Arabidopsis thaliana: one gene and its partner. The protein of the gene in region 1 interacts with the protein of each later gene in a pairwise test. Each region holds a gene or a part of one and is shown on either strand. Other genes may lie near its edges.

Region 1 (3,761 bases):
CAAGTAATACATAGAACACACGTTAAAAAGAGGCAATGTGTTCGGGTGAGATAGATACGTAACAACCGTTTACGAATCCATAACGGCTCCTAAATTCTTCATTATTTCCAATTCCTAGGAGCCTAACTCTTCTGATGTCTTCGCGTGACAGAGTTTTTGGGGCAAAAATGATTTCACCAGCCTTGTTGGTGCCCGGGGAAGTCACATTTGTACCCAAACGCAAAGAGAAGGGAAGCTCAAATGTTTGCTTGGACCAATCATGTGTCTTCACATCCTCTAGCATCCACAAATCAAAACTTTGAAAACCAGCATAAGGGTGTCTTACAATGAAAGCTACCTTCCCTTTGTATTCTATCTAAATTGATTCATCTTCCCAGCAAATAACATCCTTAGGCGCTTTGAGGTGCAAGGTTATATTAAAAGGACAATCACTCAGCTGTGTCCATACGTTGGGGAAAAATGTTTTGGTTGCAAATAAAAATGTAAAAAATTTCCAATCAATTTAACGATTAAAAGAAAGAATCAGAGCAAAGAGAAGAGAAAACATTTCATAAATTTTGAGCAAGGATTCTACATCCAACTTAAATATGAATCACTGGTGTTTTAGACAACACATCATTTCTTTTGTTCAAGATCCCATAGTATCAAACCAATTTGTTTGGTACCTAGAAATCAACACATACATGTGAGTAAACAAAAGAAGCAAACATGACATATCCTTGAATAAAGAAACATTACAGAAACCTTATAGTTTCAACATGTTCCGGTGAGATAAAGACGTTACATTGACCACTTCCAATTCCATAGCACCGCCTAAAATTTTCATCATCTGCAATTCCTTCAAGCCTAACTCTTCTAATCTTCTTTGTTTCTACATGGTAATAGAAAATGTAGAAGGATCGAAGATGATAGCCTGACAAGCATGTTGGTGCTAGAATGATCTCACCAAACTTGTTAATACCTGGAAAAGACATGTTAAAGTTCTCAACAGAATCCCACACAGAGAGAGGAATCTCACATGTTTGCTTTGACCATTCTTGTTTCTCGATATCTTCTAACACCCACAAATCAAAAGTATCGAAACGAGAATAACGGTTTCTTACAATGGAAGCTAACTTCCCTTTATATTCCATCAAAATTGAATCATTGCACCATCTTACGACATCCTTAGGTGTTTTGATAAAAGTTATCTTCTCGGATCTAACATCAAAACAAACGATCACTGCATTCATACTTTGTCTTGGAGTCCAAGCACCATAATACACAACCCCGTTGATGCATACTCTCATAGTCACAGGGGAATAAGGTGGAATGTTGTTGTTTCCTTGGATTTGCCTCCATGAGTAATTTTTCTTGTCGCCTTTTAGAGTCAACACCAAGTGCTCTACAGTACTATCTTTATTAGGTATGCAAGAAGAAATAAGAGCCAAAGCTTTGAATTGATCATCCACCGGATCATACCCTATACATGTGCTTCTCATATCTGGAGCACGACCTGAGGGTAAGATTGGTAAGACAATGACTTGTCTAGTGCTAGGGTTACATATCGTGAATCTTGTGTAAAGTGAACAGGCTATAAAACCATTGACGGAAATACACCGTGACGCAAGGTTATTAGAAACAGTTAGAGAAGGTATTGTCGTATCGAGATTGGTTATCACTGAAGAAGAAGATTCATGTCCCTCGTGTGAGGACGAGAAGATGAACAAACGCTTCTCCTTATCACTGGGAAATGAACCGTTGCTGAAAGCGACTATAAACCGTGGTCGTGTTGAGGAAATGGAGTAGAAGGAATCGATGAAGCTTTGGTTATGGATAATGGACGACCATAACTTGGAAACGCATTTGAACTTCATAAGAGATTTGGCTGGTAATCTGGTGAGAATCTCCACCGTTAGATCAAAGGGGATATGATCTATCTCCTGACGTTTCATGATGACGGCTGACCTAAATTCTTTGAAAAGTAGTAGGGGTGAACCCTTATATTCGTCTCGTTTATTTTAACCAATTAAAATTTGGCACTTAAAAATAATAATAAAAATTTAATTTAATTATAAAATCTAATTTACTACTAAAACGAAATTATGGTTTATTAGAAAACGAGGTTAAATATCGGTTTGGGTTTAGAAAGTACGATTAGAGTTTAAATTTTATAATTAAACGGATTAAATATTGGTTTAGGTTTATAAACATATTTAGATTTTGTAATTAAATGAGGTTAAATGTCGGTTTGGGTTTACAAGATATGATTAGAGTTTAGTTTTTTTTTACGATTAAATGAGTTTAAATGGCGGTTTGAATTTACAAAGGAGAATTAGGGTTTAGATTTTGTAATTAAACGAGATTATATATCGGTTTGGATTTATAATTATAGCTTTAATTTATTATGTAATTAAGTAGGATTTGACATGACATGTTTTTATTGGTTAATGCAAAAGGAGGTGAATATAAGGGCTCACCCCTAGAGGTGAACCCAAATTTTCGTTCAAATTCTTTTACTTGTTTTGTTTTGTAATTGTAAAAGATGAGATCAGAGAGATAAAGACACAAACATAAGTACGTGCTCTGTTTGACTTAAAAGAAATCTTCGCTCAAAAAGCTTTACTTGGTCGAAGCTCAAATCGGGTGGAAAGCTCAAATCGGGTGGGAAGCCCATATAGTCATATTTGTGTCTTTTTATCTTCTCACATCAGTGTTGCAAATTTACTCGGTATAAGGTTGCAGAACTCAAATCCATGGACTTAGGATCAAGGATATACCTATGAAAACTTGTAAAAGCCTTTTCATTTATAGGAGAGACCTATTACAGTAAAATCTCTATAAATTAATATTCAATAAATTAATAATCTTTATAAATTAATAAAAAAAATTGGTACAAAATTGGAACTAATGTAAAAAAATGATAAATCAATAAATACTATGTAAACATTAAGGTCTCATTAATATCATAAAATAATAATTATATATACATATATATATATATATCAACTATAAATGTGTTATATGTGAGAAACTTTAATAAAATATAATTTTAGTATTTTTCTTTTGTTTAAATTTGTATTCGTTCTTGCTTGAATTTAAAACTAATATGTATACCATATCAAAAAAATTGTTGTTATTTTCTAGACATGATAATTGTTTTTGAACTTGTAATTGGTTCTAATAATATATTGTCTTAGATTTTAACCCGCGGTACACCGCGAGAATAATTTATTTTTTAAAGTTAGTATACATAAAAGTTTGCAAATTATATCTATCTATAAAATATTTTTATTTTATAGTTTACAATTATTATTAAGTAACGTCCCGCCAACCCGCTCCGTAAAAAAACCATTTATATTATTAATGTTGATCTTATTTATGATATGTTTATGAATTATTGTCTAAATATTTTGTAATTTTGTAGTAATTAAATGCTATCAAATATCTCTGCGGTTTGATGATTATAATCGAATTATTATAGTCATGGAGAAAAGCAATATCAAAAATGATAATTTTGTAGTAATTAAATGATATTAAATATTTTGAAAGTTTTATTTTAGTAATTAATCGTGTAGTTAATGTGGAGAGATTTAGGGAAGATTGTTAAATGTCAAATATTTAATTCGAAGATTTTTTTTCTAATTATCAAAAACAAACATTAAAATCTAGTGGCAGTCGTCTGAGAAAAGCTATAAGAAAATGAGAAAAAAAAACCGTGAACTCTCCCAAGCACGAAAATCGAAGACATCCTCATGAATCTATTTTCCGACGCTGGTGGA
Region 2 (3,349 bases), on another chromosome or scaffold:
GGTCGATATCTCGGAACATGAAAAGGATTAGACTAAAATGTGATTGCTTGAATTAGCTTTTAGCCTTTGACAATTGACACTCACGGGATGTTTAGTATATTATGGGCTTTAAAGGGCCCGTAATAATTTATATATTCTTGCTAAATCGACCCATTGTGAAGCCTCTCTTAAAACTAATTTATAAATGTAGATAATGAAAATTATAGTTCAATGCATGCATACATAGCCACATATCCCATATGGATTATTATTATTTTATTTTATTTTAATTTTGGGTGCAAATCCCATATGTATTAATTTACATTAAATGTAATTAAATGCTTTCATACTTTTCACAAATAACTTTCTATGATAGAAAAATACCATTACATTATTTAGAAAATATGAAATGATTTAATTTATTACATTTAATGTAAAATAATACATATGCGATATGTGTAGGTATGCATTGAATTATCATTTCATTATGAATTTTCACTACGTGGCTAAAAGAAATCGTAAATGTTTAATTTTTTAACAGAGAGAAGCCCTAGGGCACATGTATTTTGATAAATTTCCAGTGCCCAAGTCTTCATCAAACGGTGGCGATGTACGCTATATTTTATACTGTTCCGCTGGCGAAAGAATTCAGAATCGCCAGAGGCTTTTTGGTTGGAAAGAATTAATTAACATTGGCATATATAAGTAAATATTGTTAAACATTATAACATGATGAAATACAAAAGGAAACCACAAACCATGAATTCAAAGAAACGAATGCAATCAACAAAGATTAAAGAACATCGAGATCAACACTTAGAAAACGGAACTTTATGGTTTTACTTTAGATCCTCAAAAGCCCAAGCGTTTTCCTTACGAATCGCGTCTTCTTCTTCAGGTGTGTAATCATTCTCAATGTTAAAGAGTTCTCGAACTTCCTCTGGCGACATATCTTTCATGTGATCTGCAACGGTCTGGCAAGTGAGACCAAGAAGATCTTGGACGTTGAGATAATTAACAGCGAGAATGAGTTTCATGACTGTTTCCATATCAAATTCTTTCATGAACTCTGCGTCCCAAGTCCTGAGCTCGTTCTTGGCTTCCTCGTTTACATTTTCGCTTGTTGCTTCAGTAGAATCATCACTATCATCAACATCATCAAGTACGTGTTTCTTGCAATACTCGATAACCAAAGCGAGGATATTTCCGGTGACGTTTTCAAGCGGGATTGCTTTATCGGCGCAGTCGTCATCGATCATGTGTGCTATGACCTTCAATTTACGAGCCACCGCTTCCTCAACCTCGAACGATTCATCATCCGAGCTAGTCAACACAATCTTGTTCGAAGACATTGTTTGTTTTGTTGTTTTGTTGATTTTTGAGAGATTTTATGGAAGAAATGAAATGAGAGAAATTGTTGAATAAAATTGATGAAGCTATGAAATAATGTCTCTCTTTTTATAATGAGTTGAGAGTGGGTCAAATCTTTAATTTAGGAAATATAGTAAGGAAAAATAAATATAACAAAATCCTACTATATAATTAATTGTTAGGCTCTTATATTTTCTTTTAATATTTGACCCATACATATACTACACACATGCTAATAAAATTATATTGATTAGATTTTATATAAGTTATACTAATATTGTAATTTAATATTTTAAAAATATTAACCATTATAGATAGGATTTCACCTAAAAGCAAAATTTAATTTTTGGTATCTCTTATCAACTCAATGTAAATATTAAATATAGTATAATATAGTGAGATTTTTTTATTTATAAGTTTTAGAAATAATTAATTTGATGACATGTACTTTGTTCTAAGATACTTACTTTTTCAACATTTAGCATTTTAGCAACAATTTTTTTTTTGTCAATAACTTTATTAGATTAATTTAAACAATCTAATTCTGAGGAATATTGTTTATATAAGTAATTAAATGTGGTTTAGATGTTTTGACTTTTTTATTATGGCAGTTATGTAGTGGCAGACTCATAACTTAATTTTACCGGGGTACTCCAAAACAGAAACGAGTTACCAGGAGCACTATGATGTCCAGGGCCGGCCCTGAGCTAAAGCTGGTGAAGCATGGGCTTTAGGCGCCAAACGGTATTAATGATTTAGAGGGCATCAATTTCCAAAAAGTTTTTCTGGCACAGTGGTTATGTTGCCTTTCAATTAGACGAGTTCGATATAGTCTACAGTTTTTGTGTATTTTTTTTTCTATTACTTGTTAATGGGCTAATTTTTTTTTTTGCTTTAGGCATCAAAGACAAGAACAAGTTCTCTAGAACTAAGCCATACGCTCCTTCTCTACGGAAATTAATTCATGAAACCAAAAGCTTGAAGAAATTCAGCATTATGAGCCCGTCTTTACGGAACGATGATTACCGAAGTTTTCTCAATCCTTTAAATCCATTTCCTCTGAATTCTGAGCTCATGTATATGACATTACACAACATCTGCGATTGGTGGTTTTTCTAGGATTATAAAGCAATCTTTAGTAATTCTTAAGGTGAGCAACTCTTTAGGCTCGACAAGCTCTTGATCAATTTGCAAACCTTTCAAAGTTTGAAGAATAACGGCATTTTGACTGCATCTCCAAGGAGAAGTAGTTACCGAATCTTCGACAATCTCTCTTATCCGGCAGCTTCTTCCGTGGAACGTTTTCTTAAAAGCTTGTATGCGTTGTTCGCTCGAGCCATCTATAACCACATGGTGGTCGAGGAATTTGTGAAGTCTGTCTTTATGGGCGAACCCAATTTTTGCTTCAACAGATTTTTTAATCTTTGCAAACTCTTTAAAGATGAGCATCTTTTTGAAAAACTCATGGAGCCATTATCTCTCCTCCTTTTGTGTTTTTTTCAGTTTCTATTTGTATGAACATCCCTCTTTTAGGTTTTAAGTAAATTAAAGTTGTTTGACAAAACAAAAAAGAAAGCCCATACGCTCCTATCTCTCTGCCTCTCTCTCTTTTTCTCTCGCTTTATGATGTTTTCTACGTAATAAGTGTTGATATGGGCCTTGGGACGCTTCATATGAGATTGGATAAGTTTTCAACAAAATTTACGACCAAAAAGATTGCATGGCAAAATTCAACTGAATAGTATTAATTTGCATATTAACATCCTCTCGCATGAATTTTCTTTCAGTATATCGTCCGTATATTTTAATATCATAAAATAATAAATCGCTCTAAGAAAATCTTAACCTCTCAATTATCAACCCGAAAAGAAAAAAAAGAATATTAAAACGAAGTATTTTATTCCCATCCTAGATTTGGGAAGGAAAAGGAAAAAAATAAATAATAATAATATAAACTAAATTATTTTGTACGTATAACTATATATAAATATTAAATAGG

What was found.
Region 2: the proteins of AT1G30790 (region 1) and SK16 interact in a two-hybrid assay, tested with the Arabidopsis thaliana proteins (one study listed by BioGRID).

Annotation. Positions count from the first base shown.
Region 1 is NC_003070.9:10,930,886-10,934,646, reverse strand, and holds AT1G30790 (F-box and associated interaction domains-containing protein), read right to left. Parts: upstream 1,935-3,761; coding exon 735-1,934; 3' UTR 581-734; downstream 1-580.
Region 2 is NC_003071.7:962,214-965,562, reverse strand, and holds SK16 (SKP1-like 16), read right to left. Parts: upstream 1,350-3,349; 5' UTR 1,332-1,349; coding exon 819-1,331; 3' UTR 662-818; downstream 1-661. Other genes in the region: AT2G03180 (uncharacterized protein), read right to left, coding at 2,437-2,799. UniProt on the Arabidopsis thaliana protein: Involved in ubiquitination and subsequent proteasomal degradation of target proteins. Together with CUL1, RBX1 and a F-box protein, it forms a SCF E3 ubiquitin ligase complex. The functional specificity of this complex depends on the type of F-box protein.